Linked DNA regions of Alligator mississippiensis. The main gene of each other region encodes a partner of the protein of the gene in region 3 in a complex. Links are inferred from orthologs where the notes say so. Each region holds a gene or a part of one and is shown on either strand. Other genes may lie near its edges.

The links.
Region 1: the proteins of CAPN2 (region 3) and CAPNS1 are in contact, whole or in part, in a crystal structure (PDB 1KFU), measured with the Homo sapiens proteins. The link is inferred for Alligator mississippiensis from reciprocal best matches to the Homo sapiens genes CAPN2 and CAPNS1. Residues at the interface, in NP_001739.3 of Homo sapiens: Ala2, Gly3, Ile4, Ala5, Lys7, Leu8, Ala9, Arg12, Glu13, Glu16, Phe60, Arg366, Arg416, Arg417, Arg418, Arg420, Asp494, Ile516, Phe551, Glu575, Lys578, Val581, Asp582, Asp585, Gly588, Ser589, Gly590, Gln641, Leu642, Gln644; in NP_001003962.1 of Homo sapiens: Thr85, His86, Ser88, Asp111, Asp112, Met113, Glu114, Ser116, Thr118, Asp142, Arg145, Ser146, Ala149, Val150, Met151, Asp152, Ser153, Asp154, Thr155, Thr156, Gly157, Gly160, Phe161, Glu163, Asn206, His208, Leu209, Met212, Ile213, Arg215.
Region 2: the proteins of CAPN2 (region 3) and CAST are in contact, whole or in part, in a crystal structure (PDB 3BOW), measured with the Rattus norvegicus proteins. The link is inferred for Alligator mississippiensis from reciprocal best matches to the Homo sapiens genes CAPN2 and CAST. Residues at the interface, in NP_058812.1 of Rattus norvegicus: Glu62, Leu63, Ser68, Lys69, Gln99, Gly100, Ala101, Leu102, Gly103, Trp106, Lys161, Asp162, Leu165, Leu166, His169, Ser196, Gly197, Gly198, Thr200, Ser241, Asp243, Ile244, Thr245, Asp249, Ser250, Glu251, Ala252, Val253, Val259, Lys260; in NP_445747.2 of Rattus norvegicus: Glu571, Leu572, Asp573, Ala575, Leu576, Asp577, Glu578, Leu579, Ser580, Ser582, Leu583, Gly584, Gln585, Arg586, Gln587, Pro588, Leu596, Asp597, Asp598, Lys599, Val600, Lys601, Glu602, Lys603, Ile604, Lys605, Ala606, Glu607, His608, Ser609.

The regions. Positions count from the first base shown.
Region 1 is NC_081838.1:1,007,795-1,015,711, forward strand, and holds the start of CAPNS1 (calpain small subunit 1), read left to right. Parts: upstream 1-4,902; 5' UTR 4,903-5,012; intron 5,013-5,727; 5' UTR 5,728-5,752; coding exon 5,753-5,949; intron 5,950-6,890; coding exon 6,891-6,924; intron 6,925-7,578; coding exon 7,579-7,668; intron 7,669-7,881; coding exon 7,882-7,917. Other genes in the region: transmembrane protein 87A, read right to left, coding at 264-328, 477-582, 686-871, 1,576-1,614, 2,056-2,112, 2,231-2,350, 2,479-2,564, 2,715-2,775 and 1 more. UniProt on the Homo sapiens protein: Regulatory subunit of the calcium-regulated non-lysosomal thiol-protease which catalyzes limited proteolysis of substrates involved in cytoskeletal remodeling and signal transduction. Essential for embryonic development.
Region 2 is NC_081826.1:238,529,140-238,536,635, forward strand, and holds the start of CAST (calpastatin), read right to left. Parts: upstream 3,054-7,496; 5' UTR 2,949-3,053; coding exon 2,895-2,948; intron 2,598-2,894; exon of another isoform or gene 2,524-2,597; coding exon of another isoform or gene 2,494-2,523; intron 1-2,493.
Region 3 is NC_081824.1:181,599,492-181,606,868, forward strand, and holds the start of CAPN2 (calpain-2 catalytic subunit), read right to left. Parts: upstream 3,021-7,377; 5' UTR 2,876-3,020; coding exon 2,639-2,875; intron 1-2,638. UniProt on the Homo sapiens protein: Calcium-regulated non-lysosomal thiol-protease which catalyzes limited proteolysis of substrates involved in cytoskeletal remodeling and signal transduction. Proteolytically cleaves MYOC at 'Arg-226'.

The DNA.
Region 1 (7,917 bases), on a different chromosome or scaffold from region 3:
CAACTTGTCTCCTACCAGCATAGCACCCCCTCTGCCCCCCCTCCATGCCCCCAGCATAGCACCCCCAGGCCTCCTCCCCAGCACAGCACCCCCTGCTTCCCCCCCCAGCAGAGTGCCCCCTGCTACCCCGGGTTCGGTCCCCGCCAAGCTGGCCGGTCTGCGGGAGCTGGAGCTCACAGTAGCCCCTCAACCACACCACATGGGGGGGGCACAAGGGTCTGTGGTACACCCCCTTGATCCCAGCCCTCCCCCCCCCAGCTTACCACCATGAGAGGCCACTCGGAGGCAGAGATGTACTGGTACACGGGATGCTTCATCTGGACTTGGACTGGGGAAGGACCGGGGGGCAGTGTTATTATTGGGGGGGCAAAGACCCCAGCCCCACTTCTCTGCCAGGGATGCGGCCCCCCCAGCAGCAGACCCATCCCTCCCAGCTTCCATAGCACAGCAGGCTCACGCCCCCTCCCAGCACTTACTGGAGATCTCCCAGCCGGCAGGGGGGGGTGGCTCCTCGCTCTTCCCCTTCAGTTTCAGGATCAGCACGTAGGGCCCGTCGTCCCACGTCCTTGCTGTGGTGTCCACCTGGGGGGGGATGCAGAAGCCCAAGTTACCCTCCGGGGTGGGGTCAGGGGGGCATAGAGCCCCCCCTGGCCCTCCCCAGAAGCTCGGCACCCCAGCCCCCAACCTTGGATTTCTCCTGGGCTCCAGACAGCGCCACCTTGGCCTCCCCACGGCTCTGGTTTCGCTTCCCTATCATGGCGGGGGGCTCAGTTGCTCGAGTGGGCACCAGCTTCTGCCCTTCGACCTTGTCCTTGGGGGACTTCTCACCCTGGGGGGCCAGGGCTTCCCTCCGCTGAATGCCCACGGGCTGCTGGAGAGAGAGAGAGCGGTACCTTTGCCTCAGTTTACCCCACCTGGAATCCAAGCTTCGCCTCACCCATCCACTGGGCGGTTACAGCAACATCCACGCATGAAAACAGCTTGTATTCAAGCTGCCTCATTACCATATTTCCCCGTGTACCAAGTGCCCCCCCATAAGCCCCACCCCTTGTTTTTGGAAAGCAGCACAGAGGGAAACGAGATGTTTCCAGAGGCACAGCCTGGTGCCACAGAGGAAGTTCTCCTGGAAAGACAGAGCGTCCAGGAAGCGTGTGGCATCCCACAAGACTGGCAGTAGACACTTCCTGGACAAGGGAGGGCTGGGGGGAGGGCAGTGGTGCAGTCGTACCCCGCTCTGATTCCTGCCCCAGCCACGCTTGAAGAGCAGCTGGTTGGCAGAGGCAGTGGCTCATAATCCTGATTCCTACTAATCCTTTTACCTCCCAGGGGGTTAATGAGGTGCTCACACAAGACAGGTGAGCGGTACATGAAGAATTACGGTAACGTAACGCGCTTCTTCTACTCAGCCCCTGGCTGCCCAGAGAAGCAACTTCTGCACTAAACCCCCCTCCCAGCGAGGCCCCTGGTCTGCCACAGAGACATGCAAAAGGGGGGGGGGGGCAGCATGGGAAGATCCTGCCCCCGGGACTCCCTAAGGGGGAGAGTCGTTAACAAGGGGGTAAAGCCAAGACCCACCTTCTTCCCGCTGCTGGTGCTTTCCTTCAGCTGAACCCTCTGGGCATGCAAAGCAAACAGGGGTGTGAGAGAGGCCCCAGGGCAGGGATCCCACTGCTTCCACCACATACATCAATGCTGCAGGGCGAGGAGGGGGGTGGGGGGTGCACTGGCCTAGGTGGGGGAAGCTGAGGCAGGGCAGGGAGGAGCTGGGGCTGCTTCCCAGTGGGGGCCAGGGCCCAACGGGTTTAACATGAAGCTGGTTGAGGTGAAAGAAGAAGCCTGGAGGAGCCCCCAAATGCATCCCATGCATTGGGCTCCCCTTCAAGCTCTGAACAAGCCTGACCCAGCTTAGCTTGGGAAGCCTGACAGGCTAGGAAGCTAATTACAGCTGGCTCGTTAACACCCAGCCAGCACCACTCCCACCCCAAGGGCCAGAGGCAGCAGGGAACAAGGCGGGAGGGGGGACGCGGGCAGGACTCGGACACCCGAGTTCCCTACCTTGGGGTCACTGTAGGGCTTCAGCCGGGTGGGGGAGGGCAGTCGCTCCGTGCTCAGCTGGAGGAAGGGCACAGAGGCTCGGTGAGAAGAGCAGCAGGTGCCGGGGGGGGGGGCGGTGTCGTCCCCCCGCCCCCCCCACGGCCAGGGACCCCCGCCCCCCCGGCTCGGCTCTCACCTCGTGGCTGGACATGTGGCTGCAGTTGAGGAGGGGGAAGTGATGGAGCACGTACTGCCCGGCCCCCCCTGGCACCAGCTCGCGGTCGGGGTTGGCCAGGTAGAAGCCTGCTTTGTTCTCCTGGGGGCGGGGGGGAAGGGTGTGAGACGGGGGTGCAGGGAGAGCGACCCCCCCAAGCCCCACCTCCCTCTGAAAGAGCCCGGGAGTCTTCCCAACCCCCCCCCCCCGACCCCGGCCGGGGGGCTCACATTGAGGGCGACCTCGTCGTGACAGCGGGAGCTGCGCAGGTACCAGGTGACGTTCAGGCTGAGGCCGTGGGGGCAGGACAGCACCACTGTTAACGAGGGGCTGGTCAGTGACCCCCCGCTGCAGGCACCCCCCAACCCGCTCCCGTGCTCTGCTTTCTGCCCCATCCCATGCTGCTTCCTAGCCCCTGCTCTGCTTTCCGCTCCCTGCCCCTCGAGGCGCCGGCCGCAGCGCTCACCCTTGATGACGGACTGGTCGAACATGGTCTTGGGGAAGATGAACAGCCGCTCCGTGAGGTTCTGGGGGCAGAGACGGGCAGGATCAGGCCTCTTGCTCGGGGGGGGGTGGGGGACGGACACACGCACACACTCCTGGGTCCCATTCCCAGCTCTGCTCCACCCCGCCGTGTGCCTCAGTTTCCCCCACCAGGATCTGGCCCTGCCAACAACCCCCCCAACCCCCCCCCCGCAGCAGGACGCCTGGCTTGGGGGCGTATCGCTGGGCAACTGGAGGCTACCACCCACTTATGCAAATGAGCCAGCAATAAATTTGCATGTTAAACAGGCAGTGATCTCCCCCAAAGATATGGTAGAGAAATTTCTGACTTCCCACAATGCCCTGGGGCAAAGCAGGCTTCCTGCTGTCTCTCCATTCCCACATCTATAGGGGCCTGGGACAGCCCTCCTCCTATAGAGCCCCTCCCTCGCAATGCAACCGGGACCCTCTCTATACGGTACGGAGAGCGCCTATATGGGGCCACGTCCGTCGGTGATCGAAGCGAGGGGTCCTTGTCTATAGGTGAGTGGGGGGGTCCACTCCTATAGCAGACTGGGGGAGTCCATGTCTACAGGAGACTGGCAGGGGGAGTTCCTTATCTATAGGGGATGGGGGGGCAGTTCCTTGCGTATAGGGAACATGGGGGGTGTTTATGTCTATACAGGATAAAAGGATAGTCCTCGTCTATAGGGGACTGAGATAGGAAACCATCTTTGTCTATAAGGGACCGGGGGGGGGGTCCGTATCTGTAGGGGACTGGGCGGTGTCTATAGGGGACCACGCACAAGGTAGATCCTGATCTACAGAGGGATCGGGGGATGCACGTCTATAGGGGACCAAAAAGGGACCTATATCGATAAGGCACCAAAAGGAGGGGACGTCTCCATTAGGGACCATGGGGGGGGTTGCCTATAGGGGATGGGGGGGGTTGCCTATAGGGGACCAGGAAGATCCTTCTCCATAAGGAACTGGGGGGGGTCCATGGCTACAGGGGACCAAGGGGCAAGTGCCTGTCTATAGGGGAGGGGGTGTCTCGTGGGGGTCCAGGTCTATAGGGGCCGGGGGGGGGCTAGAGGGGAACACCCTCGCCTATAGGGGCCGGCGGGGGGGTCGCTCCGGGTCGCGACCCCCGCCCCCGGGGCCCACGCCCACGTGCGCGCTTGTGGGCGGGGCCATGTCGCGCCAGGCCCCGCCCCGTCGCGCCAGGCCCCGCCCCCGGGTGACTCACGAGGGTGGCGCCGAGGTCCCAGCGGCCCGGCTCGGCCCCAGCCCCGCGGCCCGGCCCGGGCAGCGCCAGCGGCAGCAACAACGCCACGACCCGCAGCACCCGGCACGGCCCCGCCGCCGCCATCCTCTTCCGGGCGCGTCACGGCCGGGGCGGGGCCAGCGCGGGCCACGCCCCCTGCTTCCGCCGGGAAAGACCCGCCCCCGCTTCCGGCGATAAGCTCCGCCCACAGCCCCCTCCAGGGACCGGCGTCAAGTGCGGGCCGCGCCGAAGAGGGATGCCAGGTCCGTAAGGGACCGGGGCAAAAGTGCCGCCCCGGGGGAAAAGCGAAGAGCTTGCCCCCGCCCCCCTCCAGCGGGCCTCAAGGGACCGCGGCAAAGTGCCGGCCTGGCAGAGGGGCCAAGACCCTTCATTTTACCCTTATTTTACCCGTCTTTAGGGACCGGGGCAAAGAGCCCCCCCACAGCCCGCCCCTGCACCCTGATGCCAGGATCGGGCCCCGGACCCCTGGGGTCTCCCCCCCCACCCTCCCCGCCGTGCCTCAGTTTCCCCACGTGCCGGGACTAAAGCGATGCCCCCCCTTCCCCAGCTCGGGGGCTGCGGCGCGGGAAGGGTTAACGCTTTGCCTCGCAGACCCCGCGGGAACCGACCACGTGGGCGATGACGCACAGCCCCACCCCCCCATGCCAAGTGGCTGAGTCAGAGCCCCCCCCCCCCCCCTTGGGGGGCCCGATCCGGAGTCCGGCCGGGTCTGCTCTAACCACTGGCAATCCTCCCCCCCCCCCCCCCAAGTCCGGCCCGCGGCAGTGTGGGGGGTGGGGCAGGACGCCGGGTGCCCGGGGGGCGGGGCGGGGCAATGGGGGGTGGAGCCGGACGCCGGATCCGGGAGCAGGGCCGCGGGCGCTAGGACCCGGCGGCGGCGTGATTGGCTCGGGCGTGGCAGCCCCCCCGCCCCCCGCACGGCCCGAGCGGAGTCGAGCCGAGCCGTGCTGAGCCGAGCCGAGCCGAGCCGAGCCGCGCAGCCCCGACCCGCAGGTACGCGATCCCGGGATCCCTGCCCCCCCACCCCGCAGTACTACCCCGCACCGGATCCCCCGGAATCCGGGGGTTCTCTGCGCAGTGGATCCCTGGCCCCCCCGGATCCCCCGCCCGATCTTTCTTCCGGGATCCCCCGCTTTTGCTCCCCGATCCCCGCCTCCTCTCTGCACGCGACCCCCCCCTATCCCCAGCATAGAGCCGATCCTAGTGGATCCCCCCCCGGCACCCTCCTGTTCTCCTGTCGCACTGGATCCCTTCCAAGGGATCCGCCGTTACCCGCACCAGATCCACCCCATGGCTCGTGGGGGGACGGGACAGACCCGGGGATCCGCTCCCCTCTCTCCAACGGGGGAGGGGTGGCAGGGATCAACCCCCCCCCCCCGGCCTCATGGCGGGGATCTAGTGATCCCCTCCCCCCCGCCGCTCCCTGCAGCCGACGCCCCGAGTCATCCCGCCCTGGGCTGCGGCTGCGGCCGGGGCGGAGCTGGGCGGACGGGATGGGGGGGCAATCCTGGATCGGGGAGGCAGAGGGGGTCCCGGAGCCCCCCCCCAGCACCGACAGTGTTTTGTTTCCAGGAAACGGGGCATCCTGCCCCCCCCCCGCTGCCGAGCAGGGCTCTAACCACTCCTCCCCACTCCCCAGCCCCGGTGCACCCCCCAGAGAGCCCGGGGGGCCAGGCCGGCGGAGCTGACCGGTGCCTTTGCCTTGCAGCCGGTGCCCAGCTGAGCCCAGCGCCATGTTCCTGGTCAAGAGCTTCCTCGGTGGCGGCGGCGGTGGAGGAGGAGGCGGCGGTGGCGGCGGCGGCATCGGGGGCAACATTGGCAACGTCATCGGGGGGCTGCTGAGTGGCGGTGGGGGTGGGGGCGGAGGCCGGGGCGGCGGCGGTGGCGGAGGAGCCATGAACTTCCTGGGGGGAGTCATCAGTGCCATCAGGTGAGTGCTAGAGGGGGAGAGCCAGGTAACGTGCACCCATTTTCCAGGTGGGAAAACTGATGCATGAGGCCCAGCAATACCCCCCTGTTGTTCAGTTGGGGGGGATGGGGGACTGAGGTACGGGGCAGGACAGCACTTAAGCCCAACACCCTCTCCCCCCAGGGGTGAGGGGGAGGCCAGCCTGCGGACCCCCGTTCAACGTGGGGGGGGGCTGAGACCTGGCAAACTCATGGCAGGCCTGGCTGGAGCCTGGCAGCTGTTCAAGGAGGGATTTCCTCCTCACCCCCCCTCCCCCAGCTGGCAATGAAACGCACCCATTTCTGGGGTGGGGCCTGGCCCGGGGCTAGGACTGTTCCTGCTGGCTACCCCCCAGGTCTCTGGGTGGGGCTGGGTTGGTTTCAGCATGGGGGGGCGGGGGGCTCCGGTCCGCTGAACAGCCCCACCCTGCTTTGTCTCGGACTGGTTGGGCCGGGTGCTGGGATGCGCCCGCCTCTGGGGTGGGCCCTTGTGGCTGGTTGCACGGTGTTCCCCCCCCACTTGGCTCTGAAATGCGCCCACTTCTGGGGGGAGACTCGGCCTTTCTGCGCCCAGCACCAGGACCCAATCCCACTCCACCCCTCAGACCGACCGGGTCTGTCATGCCTCAGTTTCCTCTTCTGTCTCCCCCTCTGAACCTGCCTTGTCCGGCGCCTGAGGCGGGGGCTGGGCGTGGGGTTCATGTCTTCCTTCCCCCATGTAGTTTTCATCCTTTGGGGGAGTCGGGACCCCCCAGAGCCGGGCACAGCCTCTCTCCTGCTGTGTTTGCACAGCTCCGAGTGCGGCGGGAGGGGGCCCGATGCTTGTTGTAGCCATGGGGAAACTGAGGCATGGGCCTGGTCTCTCCTCACCGCTCCTCTCTCTCTCTCTCTCTCTCTCTCTCCCTCTCTCCCCCCACCCCGCAGTGAAGCGGCTGCCCAGTATAACCCAGAGCCCCCGGTAAGACCCAGTGACCTGCTGTGGACACGTGAGAGATGGGGTGGGGGGGGGTCCACCGGGGTCCTGGCATGTCTTGCCTAATGTGGGGGGGGGGTAAACCTGCTGTCCTGAGGACCCAGCCATCCTCCCCCTGTGCCCACAGCTGGGCTGCAACGTGGCGCGTTGTATGCGAGGAGGTACGGTAGGATGCAGGGTCCCTAGACCCCCCCCACACACACACAAGGTCCTCGCTACCGTATCTTCTAGTGTACCACATGCTGCCCCCCTCCCCCTTCCACATAAGACCTGCTCCTGATTTTTGAGCCCACCCGAGGCAGGAGCCTGTGAAATAGGAGCAGAGAGACTAGGGGCAGCCAGCGCCCCCCACCCCCCAGTTTTAGAAGGAGAATTTTTAATGAGGGGTGTGCATGGTAGGCAGGTAATTACAGTAAAGACTGGGGCAAGTTAAAAGGGGCTCAGATCCAGTGCACGGCCCCTTTAACCCCCTGTGGGGGTGTTGACCCCAGGCCCCCTCCCCAAGACCTTGACATCAGTGCCTGAAGGGATTGGGGGGGCGTCTGCGACCCTTTGGCGGGTGGGAGCTAGCCCCTCGTGGGCTTCATGCATCCCCAGGCAGGGGGAGAGATGTCCTGACACCCCCCATTGCCCCCGCAGCCCCCCCGCAGCCACTTCTCCAACATCGAAGCCAATGAGAGCGAGGAGGTGCGGCAGTTTCGGAGGCTTTTCACCCAGCTGGCTGGAGATGTGAGTACCTCCCCGGGCCCCCGCAGCTATGGGGCCCAGATGGACCCAAACCATCCCACAATCCTTTGCAAAAGGCTTCCCCTTCCACACCCTGCCGGGATGCAGCTGCTTCTGGGGTGGAGCTGGGCCCTGGGTTACACTGGGCAGCTGAGTGCAGCTGGGGGGGTGGGGGGCACTGGGGCAGGGGGTGACCCCCTTCTGCCCCCCCGGCAGGACATGGAGGTGAGCGCCTCGGAGCTGATGAACATC
Region 2 (7,496 bases), on a different chromosome or scaffold from region 3:
TGTCATTAGTCTGGTTCCTTTCACTCAAGAGAGACCACTTGTTAATGCTGTTTTTAGTACCCTTATCTTGTTCTTAACTCTGCCCCCATGCTTTAGCCCTTCAGGTCAAAAACAGCCTAGTAGGCTCAACAGGATACCAATGCCAGAGTCCTCAGAACTAATATCTACCACATCCTCCCTTTACAACCCTCTAGTTTTTGCCAAGTGAGTTTTTACCTTGAACCAGCCTTTCCATATTATACCAACATATTCATGCAATAAACAGCCTCTTAATCAGGGTTATATACTGTATTCATAAACTCCAACTCTGTCAAAGGAGGACACAGCAAACACCTAACTTACAGCTGTTTTAATTGTTTTAATGTCTTGGATGAAGTCTAACATTAGCCCATAACATTTTTATATTATACTATATATAAAGTTAAAAAAATACAGCAAGCAAAATACTAAACTTTTCATTTTACAATTTACCTTGAATTTATGCAAAGTAGGCAAAGAGAAGAGATACCCATGGTGTACAATTTCAGTTTAAGACTTTCATCACTTTAACATGCTCTATACAGCGTACGAAAGTGCCAGAAAACATGCTCTTTGGTAGCCACACTCACCAACTCTACTTTCTCAACCAGCAAGATATACAAGATTTACAAAAACAAGTGACCCAAGTAAAAAGTTCTCCAGGCTCAAGGACAACATGCTAACAGTGAAACCAATAAACAACAAATCTAATATAAGCCCAAAAGGGAGGAAGTCCCAAAGCAAGGGGCTAGTGAAAAAAAAAAAAATCTATTATCCACTTCAAAAAGCCCAGTTCTTTTTTGAACCAGTTACCAACTAAAACCCAGCACGACAACTACTTCATGCCTTTTGCTTATTCCCCTTCTAAGTTTTGTATGTCTTTCCTTACTTAAGTTATAAGGTCTTCAGGGAAGAACTCTCTCTTACTAGGGGACTGCACAATATCTCACACAACAAGAGTCCAATTTCAGTTGGAGTCATTAAGGGTACTGTGATGCAAATATTTTTGATAATTGATTTCCCATGAAACATGAGTGCAAGTGATTTTCTGACCCTGAAACACATGCTTAGTTTGTTTTAGATTGCTTGCTTTTAGATCCAAAACTCAGTGACTCAGGACAGCAGGGACCCTCCTAGTTTTGTGTATGGATTTTACCGCATGTGTTAGCATTGCACAAAGTTTAATGCAATACTTGCACCTAAATCCAGCTATAACAGCCAACCCAACATCCAGCCCAACACCGGGACTCACAGTTCTAACCACCTTTCATTGACACTGGCTAACTGGTTTGAATTCTGACTCACAATTAGGATTGAGGCTGAAAACTGTTATAACTGTATAATTAGATATTTATGTTCCAGCAAACTCTTCGCAAAGCACATCTAATGTGTCCTAGGATCAGCAATGGTTGCAGGTTTTACTTTAGGAAATTAGTGAATTGAATGTTTGATGGCACAGACACCCTACAACTGCTTCCCTCTGTGACTGACATCAAATTAGAAAAAGCAGGCCTTTTGGAAGATGTAATTGAAGGTTTAGTCAGAGTAATCATTGGATGCTTAAGTACAGAATACAGATTATGCCAAAACTCAAAAACTTGTGGTTTACCTAGGGAGGTCCCAGAAAGATAGAAAGAGTCATTGTAGATCAAGGAACTCCCCACAGTTAGGAACAAGTTTACGAAGCCTATTATCACGCAGGAACTTACTCAGAAAAAGCCACCCAAAACTAACTCTGCCTTAACAACAAGATCTCTCATTTATTTCGGCTTCCCAAATGTTTTGGGCTAAAAGAGAATGAATGCAAGCTCTGTTATAAAGCTATGAAAAGCAGCAGCAAAACTTGTAAAGACAAATCTTTTTCATGTGACAGGTCTTTGCCAAAGTCTCACGTGAGACTTCATGGGCTCTGAAAAGACAAGACCCAACTTTAACAGGTTTTCTACCCAAAATAGGTGCAGGACCTTTGGCAAAACCAAGCCATGGCAAATACAAAAGGGGGTGGGGGGGAAGAGAAAACTGCACCTGAGCCCCTTTTACGCTTGACAAAACGGTGGCACTGGAGCCGCAGGATCCTTTCCGAGCTGCTAGATATCCCGCTCAACATCGGCTTTTAGCTTGAAAGACAAGAGGACGAAGGAACAGGCTACCCAGAGAGAGCTTGGGAGTCTCCATCCTCAGAGGCTTTGAAGATCCGAGTAGATGAAGCCCTGGCTGGGATGACCTAGCTGGGGCTGGTCCTGCTGAGAGCAGGGGGTTGGACTAGACCTCCCGACGTCCCTTCCAGCCCTCATTTTGTAGGGCTCCAGACAGCCGAGAGCGGCCTCTCCTCTGGGCGCAGGTCCGGAGCCAGGCACTAGGCGCCCGCGCCGCGCCGCATCGCGAGCCTCCTGGCACGGAGCCGCCTCCCCTGCGGCCTAGGTGTGCCCCGGCGGCCTCCGCCCCCAGCCCGCAAAGCGCAGCCCGGGTCTTTACCGTGGCGTACCACCAGCGTGCGAAAGCCATCGCCGCCCGCCGGATCGTCCTCGCAGCTGGAGCCGCAATGGGAGCACGGAGCCCAGGCCCAGCCCCGGCCCGCCCCACCCCACCCCACCCCGCCCTGCCCTGCCCTGCCCTGCAGCTACGGGCGGCGCGGCGCTACCCCGCCCCGCCCCGCCTCACACAGCTATGCAGGGCAGGGGCAGGCGCAAGGGCACGGACAGGGTGGGGCCGCGCGCGTCGCTATGGCTGCGGGAGGGGAGGGGCGGAGCTGCCCGCGCCCCACGGGCCGGGGTCGTCCTCCCCCTCACGCCCTGCGCCGGCTGCATGGGGGCGTCGCCGGGCTCGCCTCACGCCCCCTCGCCGCGGCGCCCCCCGCCCCGCCCCGCTCCGCTCACCCCCGGCGGCCGCGCGGCGGCGGGCCCCCGTTTCCCTCGGCCCGGCTGGGACATGTCTCGGCGCTGGCGGAGCGAGGCAGGAGGAAGCGGCGGGCTGGCTCCACCGGGCGTGAAGCGGTTTTTCCGATGCGCCCCGAGCCAGAGCTCCCCGCTAGTCCCTCCTCTTCCTGCGGGTGCTCCGCACCACTCCTCTTTCGGGGCCTCGCCCGCACCAGGCTGGGGGGGGGAGGGATGTGGCTGAGGGCAAGATGCCCGCTGGCGGTTTGTCTTGGCGAAGACACCAGCTCCCCGCTAGGCGACCTGAGAGCCGGCCTCAGTCGCTAGCAGAGACGGGACAGGAGTTGTTGCTTTCTCCTCCTCTCTCTGAGACAAAGCTCCGGCTTCATGACACAAGGCCACCCCCGCCCCCAACTCACCAACCTAGAAGTCGGATCCGATCGGCTGGTTTGTGTTAGGCCTGGCCTCACCTCGGAAAGAAACTTATCTTGGCTAGTTTTAGGGAAACGTTGCCGAGAAGATCGCTTTTCCTTCCTCCTATCCCACCTCCCCAAATGTCCGTGTTTTTTTTTAAAGTACCAAAATCACTCTAAAAACAGGAGGAAAACTAGATCTCTGCCCAGAGTTCAGACCGAACTTGGACTCTTTTCAAGACTTCGAAGGGAAAAAAAAGATGTTGAGAGGGTTACTCTTTCAGGTTTTACATCTCTTGCGCACTTTCCAGATTTAGTTCCCAGTGGAAATCCTGACATAAAACTTCTTGTGAGAAGCCAGGAGTTTTTTTGCAGGTACCTTTTATTGGATTGGCTGGAAAGTAGTTGGGGGAAGATGCTGGACAAGCTTTCAAGCATAACGTGCCCCTAACTTCAGACTTGTGGGGTAACCCCACAGCTCCAGGCTGTCTCCGCGCTGTTCTGCTTTGTGTTGCTAGAGCTTGAACCAGCTCTTGGTCGTGGGAGATCTCTCCTGCCAGCACATCTCAATCTCACAGCAGGACCGTCCCTAGGGGGGGCAAATCGGGGCAACTGCCTGGGGCCCCATGCTTTGGGGGGCCCACGCAGAGCTGAGCAGCCATGGCTCCTCCTGCAGGGCCCGCCTAGTGCTAGTGACTCCACGCCGCCACTTGCTTCATGTCCGGCTGCTTGCCACCCCCCGCCGCTGCCACCACCAGCTTCTTCACATCTAGGTCCCATGCAGACTGCTATTCCCTAGGTCCTGCACCCTTCTAGGGTTGTCACTGCTCACAGGCACTTTGACCAGACCTTATAGTTTGTGAAGGAGATCCAGCAAGGCCTTGGGGTTCCCTGGGTTTGTGAAAATAGGTCTGCTGGCCCCAAGGGACCAAAACATCTGCTGCTGCCAGCTGCTGCTGCAGAATCACTCTCGAGACAAAATGTAAAAGGAAAAGGCCACAACAGGTTTATAGGCAGACAAGGTTCTTGGGGTAAATCCAAAATCTTTTTTCAGACCAACTCAGATCATTGGAAAAATTCTTCTTAAGCTTTCGGGCACAAACCCCCTTCACCAGGCTGAGGAAGCATCTACAGATGGTCTGTGCTCTTCCTGGATGAAGTGAATGAAGAGGTCACTTTACCACTCCATCCAGGAAAAGCAGAGACCATCTGCACATACTGCCTCAGCCTGACGAAGGGGGTTTGTGCCCAAAAGCTAACTAAGAAGAATTTTTCCAACTATTTGAGTTGGTCTGATAAAACCTTGTCTGCTTATGTCCTTAGATCAAGACAGCTACAACCTACACCCCTGAAACCACAGGTTTATTGCCTGCAAGTCCTACTACACATTCAAATTAAAGCCAGATAGAAACTAACTACAGAGCTGTCACACAGTTTCAAGCACTATCTTTATAGCTGGTTGGCTCTTTTTATAGGTGGAGACTCATTTTTATGGTGTGATTAGTACTTTACACATGTAGCTAGTTTAAATTTATTGTGCCATTTGCCAGTTAATTGTGTGATAACTGCTTTGCACTTGTGGCCAGTCTTGCTTTGCACAGGTGACCAGTCTAAATTTATTGGGCAATTAACCAGTTAATTGCATAATATAAGTAATGTGTAGCAGGGGCTTAAGAGAAAAACATAGGGAAAAGATCTGGACACAAAAATACAGAAATAAAACAGAAATGCCTCACTATTCCCTTTTAACTTGAAATAGCTGCCTGGTCTTCTGCTTCAAACAGCTAGCAATCTGCCAACTTCTGGGGTGATCCTTCAACCTCCTTGCTCAGATCTGAAGTTTGGCACTTGGAGTCTTAAAGCTTGATTAACATTTAGGAGCATAACTAACAAGTTTTGCACACTGGGCAAAACGTCCCTGGGTGGCTGTCAGATTCTGAGCACCAGAAATTGAGGTTGGAGGAGAAAAGAAAGGAAAAAGGTCAGTCTTACCTACTCCAGGGACTCAAAGACTGCTGCTGCTGCTGCTGCCATGTCCCTGCACCTAGCCCCTACAGCCAGGGGCATGGACTGCTCTTGCCAGCAAAGTCTTGGGGAGAAGTTACCATTCCAGCACCAAATCCATCTAAATTAGATCCTGGGGTTAGTATCTCTCTCACCCCCTGCTTCTGCAGTTAAGCTGCTGCTAACCAGGGTTGCCAACTGTCAGTAAAACATCAGGCTAAAAATGGCTGTCAGTAAAGTCCACAAAAAACCAAACCATACTGGCGGAAATATAAGTGGGGGGGGGGGTCGACAGGGAAGTCCCATGTACAAATAAACTGAGGGCCTTCTTCTGACCGCACCCCATAGTAAAAACTAGCCACAAGCAAGAATTATGCCCTGTCTAAACTGTAGACAGCTTGAGTATGCAGCAGAGATAGGATGGTGGGTGGGATGGAAAGGAGAAGATAAAGGTGAGGGGATGTCTATAAGTAGTTTAATATATGAATTTAACATAAATCTTTTGTGTGCTCATCGAAAAAATAACTGGTCACAGCAACAGGTCTAACAGATTGTACTGCATTCCTGAGGCTGCAGTGCATAGGATACTCCCTGCTAGCACAGTACTACAGGAAGAGGACAGAACCTGCTTCAGTTCCACACCCTGTATTGCCCTGCTCTTGATAGCTGAAATTTGAGCTCTAGGACTGAAACCATGTGATAAGGCAAGACTATGAGAAACCCCAATAATTGAGGTCATTAGCCTATCAATTATTGATGAGTGGTCAATGTAAGTGCAAATCCCTTAGGCACATGCCTAACTAAGCATTAGAGCAATCCCATTGACAAGTTAGATGTGTATGTAAATAGTCAGACATCTCTCAGAGAGCCCATGGAGCCTTCCAGTTCATTAAATAGTTACTCAAATAGATCTCAACCTACCTCCAAAGTTGTATAACTAAAATGGTATTCATACGTTTGTTTATGTGTTTGGGTAAAACAGTATTTATATGCACAATACAAATGTATATTTTCTAAGTACAGTTATGTATCCCTAACTATGCTTATAACTGGACAGGTTCTGATGATTAAATCTAATCCCTTGCTGTTGCAAGCAAATACAACCTAGAAACTCTTTCATATGCTGATTGTAACAGGGTTCCACTCTAGGGGTGGCTGCAATGCCCCTGGAGCCCTCTTAGCCACTGTGTAGTCTGGCTGTCTTTGGGTATTCTCTCCTGCCACACCTTGATGTTATTCTCTTTTAGAAAAAGGGAGGCTGCCCCAGGGCTTCCCAAGCCTGATCTCATCTCATGAATTTAGGTTTCTGTGCTTACTGGCTTAAGGGCTAATTACATGGCTCCAACCTCCCCTTACACCACACTCACACCTAGCATATGTCAGGAGGAATGAGTGTCACGTGCCCCTCCTGGGCTATGTGATCCCAGCCCCAGTTCTCACCCCTCTCATACTAGAAGTACCTTGGCCCCCTTGGTCCCCAGTTGTGACCTCCTAGTCTTTGGCCCTTTTCTCTGGGCCCTGGCCCTACTCCTAGGCCAGTCAGGACTCATGAGCAGGGACCTGGGTTTGCCGTTTGCTTTGGGGAAACACAGATTTTCTCCTTTGAAGGAGAAAAGCGCAGATTTTCTCCTTTGAGGAAGAAAAATGCAGGAAACTGTGGGTTTCCATTTGCAGGCTGGCAGAGTTCCAGTCTGCAAGGGGCTTCTTGGAGCTGGAGGGAGCAGGATGCAGGGGGCAGGGAGTGCTATGTGCATGTGCACACACACACATGCACGTGGCAGCCAGGCAGTCTGGTGGAGAGCTGCTCCTTCCAGGTAAGTCTAAGCAGGCAGGAGTGGGAGGACACAGACAATGTGTAGAGGGGCAGGGGGGCACAGGCAACATGGTGGGAGGGAGGCAGAAGTAGGGTAGCGGTTATAGGCAACTCAGCATAGAGGCATAGACGATGTGGCAGGGGCCAGGGGGGGACCATGTGCTCTGCCAGATTTCTGTGCCCACAGCGAGGTGTGGGGCATGGGGTCATAGCCTGGCTGGACGAGGTCTGGGCAGGAGCTACCTCCACAGCCCAGTGAGCAGGACTTAGCATAGGAGGAAGTGCCATACCACCCTGACCACCAAGGTGAGGTGCACCCTGCCCACCTGGCAGCAGTGGGGAGCACAACTCCACACTGCTGCCACTGCTGCGCCT
Region 3 (7,377 bases):
AGCAGTACAGGTATCTAGCCTGCAACCATCCCCTCTCCCCTGTCTCTTCACCTTCCTTAGACCAGGGTGATCCCAGTCTGGGGAAAGCATAGGGAGCAATGACTGCTCCAGTTCTCTTGCTCCCAGGGGTACTGGAGCAATGGGGCAAAGTCCCATGCCCACACCTCACACCGGGACCCTGGTGAGAGAGAGCTGGTAGGGAGAAAGCAGCAGCTGTTCCTCCCCTCCCAGTAACCCTGGTGTAGGGAAAGCAGGGAGCCTTTCCCCACTACTTGACTACTCCTTGGACTAGGAGGAGGCAGGCACCAGCTGCTCCCTTGCCTTTCCTGGTCTAGATGTAGGAAGTGTTTCCTCACTGCTCAGTCCCTCCTGGTCCCTGAAGGAGTCAGGTGGCAGTGAAGTGTATAGGCTTTCATTCCCTGGGAGAAATCCTCCCAGGAGTGACCTCTACAGAATCAGAGATGGATTATTTTTTCTCCTGGAAACACCATTTTTGTTTTGGGAGAAACTCTGTGAATGCCTATATGCTCATGGTTTCTACCAGGACAGCTAAGATTTTCCTGGTAGAAATGTAATGCCTGCATGGGTTGTGACCTGTACCAAAGCAAACACGTTTATCCGGGAATTTTAGGCTGTAAGGCAAAACAGCAGGTGAAGTTTATTCTTTTCCTTCCTGAAGAAATAGAATTCGCCAATGCCCTAGGCTACCAGCCCTGTCACAAAAGTGCCTTTTGACTGCATTTTCTAGTTATCGGGCTCCTGCCTCTGAAGATTTTTCCATTTGTTCTTGGACTTGTTTCAATGGTCTTTGGACCAAATTCCTTCCTGTTTGCAATTCTTTTGAGTTTAAAATGTGTTATGCAAAGGCTAAATCAGGGCCTTTGCAAAGGCACAGAATTCTGACTGACACTTAGAACAGCTTTATTCAAATGTACACAGCTTTATTCAAATGCAGAGGAGGAGCGCTGAACATGGTGGGACGGGGTACTACTAGGTTGTGGTGTTTTTTTGTTGGGGGAAGATTTGCAAGGGGTGGGGGTTTGCCCAGCTGCCTTTCTATATTAGTAAAAGCAGAGGGAAGCATAGCTCAAAAGTTGGGGTGGAGAAGGCAGTGTGACTGGGAAAACTGAATTGAAATCATGGTGACTTAGAAAATGGAGGGTGGCACAAGCAACCCCGAGTGCTCGGGGCACAGGAAAAGTACAAGTTCTGAGAAGGGCAAAGCCCGTTGCAGCACTTCTAAAACCTGACAGGTATATTTTACAAGAGACCTATGGGAGTGCAGAGCTTGGTGCTCAGGGCAGGGATAATTTGCAAGAGCTGGGCACAGATTCATACCTACTTACACCAGCTGTATCCAAACAAATTATAGTCAAGAAGGAAATGTGGACAAATGGATCGACTCACATCCCAAAACAGCCGGCTGGCACTAGAAGAGTATAAGTCCCTGCACTAGATGTGTGTGCACATGCAACGCTATATATATAGGAAAGCACTGAGGGCGCACAGAGAAAAATGAATGTGGTTTTTCTTACATGCCTTTCACTTCCTGGAATACTTGCACTGAAAATAAACATAACTGGCTGGCTTCAACTACTGGCTTCCAGTTTACAGGGAAAAAAATGTTTACTTGTATTGAGCTCAGGATGAGCAAAGCAGTCGACTAAAATAAGAAGTTTGTGAGTGATTCTCCACTCGCATCAATTTTACCCATGTAGCTCCACTGACTTCAGCAATTGCTCTGACTTAAATCTCCTTCAGAAGTAAATTAGGTGCTCGCTCAGACTGAACTGAATCTTGCTACAATTCGAAAAAATCCACTGAATCTTCATTTTCATTTTTGTGCCTCAGTATTTAAGTCCTAAGAGTCCCAAATTTCCTACCAACTTTCCAACTAGGTTTCTATAACAAAGAGCATTGGAGAAATCCGAACAAAACCTCTGAGGCGTCTGAGATTAGCCTGTTTCTATACATCATGGAGTTCCTAATTTCCTACATCTCCAGGCTCAAGTCCTGGCTGTGTGACAGCACCACACACCTCTCAAGTGCCTCCCTGGGTCCTCTGGCAGCACATTCCTACTGCAGAAGTCAGTACTGTACTTTCTTGGAAACATTCGCAATCAATAGCTAGGTTTTCACTGTGGCGTGCCGCAGTTTAGAGAAGTTGTATTTCTCCTCCAGCGATAGCTGCACATGGCACACAATCAAGTACTGCTATTTATCTGGGGGCCCTTCAAGACAAGGGAACTCTCAGCCTCTGTTTCAGGACAACATTTTCTATCACTCAGTCAGGTTTGATTTAGTACTTATCCTGCTAAAAATGGGCCCAAGATAATAAATGTAGATCCAGACCCAAGCCTGGGGTAGTTCTATGCCAGAGGTTGGTTTGGGTGTGGCCCATCACTAGGGAGAGAGACAAGATTGAAGACTTAGGTTGGATTCTCCAATGCATTGAGTTATTTCCACACAGTCCTGCCCAATTTGGTCCATTATACCTGACTTCTCCACCCACAGCAATTCCCACTGTGATCACTGCAACCTCCCCGCTTTCAGCCAAGCAAGCACATACAGTAACTGTATCACTTGGTGTTCACCTTTGATCTCCCTTTCTCCCTCCCCACAGGGCCCATTATCCTACCGTTGGTCTCTTCCATACGATGCCCTGAGTTTTGTATGAATTTGGTCCCAGTTCTTTGTACCCCAGAGAGGAGGCAGCTGCAAGGAAGGATGGATCTTGGAAGAGTTTCCCAGCCTCAAGGCACTCCTTCCTCAGAGTCTCAAAGTCCTGATTGAGGTATTTAATGGCTTTTTCATTGGAGCCTAAGCCCCTTGCTGTTTCTCTGTCCTTGGCTAATTTAGCTGCAATACCAGACATGTTTGCCTTCTGCTGCTGCTGCTGCTTCTGCGGGTAACATAAAAATGCGAGCCTTCCTGCTGCTCAGCAGAGGGACATCTGAGACCTAAAGCAAACAGCAGCAGCAGCAGTGTGTGGAGCCAGACCAGGGCGTGATTCATCGGAGAGAAACAAAAAAAACCCAACAGTGAAAGCAGGCGTGGCTAGTGCTTAAAGATGCAGCTTCTTCCTGGTGCCCCTCTTGTGATTTGAGTCAGTGGCAGGGTGCCCGGATGAGTCTATTGTTTCCAGCAGTGTATCTTGCAAGGCAGAATCCTCCTCATTGGGACGCTCCCAACCATAGCCTCTTAAGCAGCTTGTCTGGTTTAGAAAGGTTCATTCCCTTAAAGAGGGAGCTTACACGAGCCAATATAATAATCCCCACTCTGTGGAACAGATCCTGGGGTATTTTTGCTCCAAAGCATGGACCTCTGCCATTTGACTTAGTTGTCAGGAAGAGCAGCCATAGGCTCTTAATTTGCCCCTGTGTGCCAGCTTGTCAGAGGGGGGGACAACACATTTAGCCACTGCGAGGCACACTTTGACTGCTAGGGAAACTTATTCTGAAGTCCTCAGCAGCTCAAATCCCCTATGGTGCATCACGTATTCATGAACAATGGCATGAGTTGTCAGCAGGAATAAAACCAAGGACTTTAGCACCAACACACAAGCCTTCATGGTCAAGACCAGGGGTGTCAAAGGTATGGCACATAGGCCAGAACAGGCTCATGAAACCATATCATCTAGCCTGTGGGGCTCTTGTAGGGGCCAGAAATAAGGAGGTGAGGTGGGGCCCACCGCCAAAGTCTGGAGCATAGTGTCCTAATGGGGACATCTATCAGCAGTGGAGGGGCAAACAATGAGTGTATGTGGCTCAGGAACCTGTAGTGGCTAATGCCACTGCTGCTTGCCCTACCACCAGAGGTAAGCCTGGATCCAGCCCATGAGGAGCCCTACAGTTCAAAAACCAGCCTGGGAGTCAAGTGAGTCTGACATCCCTGATACATGCTAAATGTGATGTATATGCAGATTGTATGGAATATGAAGCCTTTGTTTTCTGCATTTTACTCTGAACAAGTTTGCACTTGAAAAGGAATGGGCCATTCCTGTATTTGGTATTTTACCTTGGGCTCCTTGGGAACTGAAGCATCAATGGAACTGGAGGATCATTAATTAAATGTAAGATCTTTCCTCCTGACAGGGTACGAAATGTTTGAAGGGAGCCTTGAATCTTTTCTACCAATGCTCTACAGAATACCCAGGAAAAACAGCAAACTGAATGTTTACTATGCAAATAGCATGCATAATCCCTCTCCCGTCTCTCCACCCTGCCCCCACAAATAATGCATTGTTCTGTTGTCTTTCCTGCAGTCCCAGATGACAAGATATTTGCAATTACCTCTATTATTGTTAATTACATTATTGCCTAAAGATCACAATCCCATTGTGCCAATCACTGTACAGAATAGTCCTTACCCTGGAAAGCCTAAAATCTAAATAGAGAAGATGGAGGAAGGATCTACATTTTACAGGTAAGACAACTAAGGCAAAGAGACATTAATGTGCTTTGCCCAAAATTATACAAAGTCTGTGGTGGAGCCAACAGCTGAAGCTTTGATTCATGGATCCTAACCCAGTCAGTGCTCTGCGCTCTTCTCCAACATACTGTAATGCAATGAATGAAGGCCCTCTGCTGTTCTGGCTCTCAAGCCATTGGGTGCTTGTGCTGCCAGGTCATGTGGAAAGTTTGCTAAATCACAAGCAAGCCCAGCATACCCAATAGAGAAGTATTTTTTTTAAATGTAATTTGTATCCAAGGCCAAATTAGCCAAAACTAATTCCAAATCCAAGAGTCGAACCATAAATGACCCTACTACCGGCAAATATCCTCCACCTGCACCTGAGGCTTCAGATGTTTCCTAAACCTTTGGTGGGCATCCTACATGCAGGCCCAAGCCCGGAGGCTTGGGGTTCAGATACCTTCAAGTTTTGCTTGCCCTCAGCCATAAGGTCCTGGGAGCAAGCAAGGGAGGAGACTGCCATTTCCATATGCTGGGCTTAAAGCTGCTGCACCTCGGTGGGTACTGAATCAGCCAGAAGAGCATCTCTCCTGCCAAGTGGCTCAGGAAAACTGCCTTCTTGCACCCAATAGAGAAGTTTGTTTTTTGTAAAAATCTCTCTCTCTCTCTCTTCCTCTCCCTCTCTCTAAGATTATATATATCTACACTCCGCATATCACACCGCAAAAAGAAAAAAAAACCTTCACAAGTTACAAAAAAACGCGCTCATGCACCCGTACAAAGGCCCACTGGCCACCTGAACCCGTTACAATATCCACATCATGCGCAACACACGCCAAACAAAAAGCATATCCTGGTCCCTCAGACCAGGCAACACTTCCTTTCCATCCCTGCCCCTCTTGCAGGGTCACATACTCAGTTCAAGTGTCTTCTCTCTTGCTGTCACTCCAGCTCCTGCTAGAGGACCCGCTGCTGTGGTCACTGTCCTCTGTTCCGCTTCTCCCTTCCTCTTCTTTGCTGCCACCGCCCCCTTCTCCACTCGGGGGATGTTGGATGACCCTGTGCCACATGTCTCTGTGCCAGGTGACTTTGGCAGCGTCTTCTCCATCCTCTACTACCGATTTCTGGTAGTAGGTCTAGAGTTCGCTCAGAGCCATTTTCACGCAGCCTGCTACCTCTACATCCATTTGCCTGTGCAACAGGAGGTTCCTGGCCTTCCACAGGGCACTCCTGACGCAGGATACAAACTGGTTGAAGCAGGGCAATGGGGCCCAATAGAGAAGTATTACATCAACATAAAGACGATGTTCAGGCAGTAGGTATCATAGCTACTGTCCTTCTCTGAACAACCACTCTCAGGTCCCTCACAAGCTGTTTATTACTATATTGGGGGTTTGTATACCCCACTTTGTGCAGCACTTATCAGTGCTATGGGCTCACTTCTGTGCACCCTGTGCAATCATATTGATGGTGGAGGTTGCACACAGAAATCAGTCTTGTGAAGAACAACAGTAAAAGACTCCAGCCCTCACCTGTCTTTAAGCAGATCCACCCTTCAAGGACTGCTTTGTTCACCCCTTCTGCAGCCTGAATCACAAACCCTGGTGGGTGCAGCGAATGTAACATTCCATTTAGAAGGAGAGCTGCGTGGGTGAGTACAGGGTGGTGGCACTAGAATAAAACCCTGGCTCTTTCAAAAGGTTTCTTTTGTCGTTCAGGGGAAAAAATTAACAAGCCAACCAATAAAACCCATTCCATCTCACTTTGTCCCTGCTTTCCTCATGTACAGATCTCGCATTTAAGTGTTATCAGCTGTTCACACTTATTCCTTCACTCTTGAACCTGAATCTTACCACATACATAGGGTCCAGGAAAGTAGACTTTGGTTGGGCAAAGCCTCTGTGGGAGCCAAGGGAAGTTTCATATCACTGCCCTGGCCTCCAGTGTCTATAGCGGCAGCTGCAACTAAGAAAACGCATGGAAGAGGGACAGTAAAAGCAATACAACCCTCCCAGAAAGGGGCAGTTTGTTTGAATGACTCACATAGTTTAGAGAGTGACAGCATTAATGAAATTTGGTTTGCTTCAGATCCATTGTTATTCCTTCAATTCAAATCAGAATTAAGCTGGTTTGTGGGGTCAGGCTTATAAAAAAGGACTTCACAATACCCAGCCCAGCTGCTAGTGAGGTGGAGCTCAGGGTTTCCTGCCCCCGCCTGCCTGAAAGATGAGTTGGAGCATAGAAGGGAGGGGAGAGGTCACCAAATTCCAGAGTTATTTTTCCCAATTGAAAGCTTGTGCAGATTCATTTTTTCCAGGCCGTAGCACCACTGCTGGCCAGCTGAGCTGCCAACATTCCCCAGAGGAGGGAGTAACTCATGGAAGTTACCAAAGAAGCTTGACAGGACAACTGTACAGGTACAGCTAGTCTGTAACCAGGGCCCAAAAAAACAGTCATAGTGGATTTTTATTTGTAGAATAAGAAAAGCAGTGGAATTAAATTCAAAGAGGCCGGTCTCTCAGTCTCCCACGAGGCTAGCACGAGGTATTCTGCTGTACCAGGCAGTTCCTTTGGAAAGCTGCCCTGGCATAACAGCTGGCTTGAGCCAGGCTGCTGCAGTGACTCCTTGCTGTTGCTGTTGGTGCAGAGATGGGTAGGCCTGGCTAGATTACTGTCCCTCCCTGATAAGAATAGGCTGCCTGAGCTGCCCTGCTCATGCAATGTGCAGACTCCCAGCTGCTATTACTGATTCCTTTGAACACTGTGGGAGCGATGTCATTGAAGGTATTGAGCTCCCTACACACAAAGGACACTTGTACATATAGGGGGGTTTAGTCCTTAGGGTTGCATTCTATGCCCCCTACATTGAAATGGTGGGTTTTTAACTGAAACCCACCATTTCAATTTAAGGGTTTCCGTCACTGTTACGGCAAGGGGCCTGAACCTTTTTTTTTTTTGGCAGAG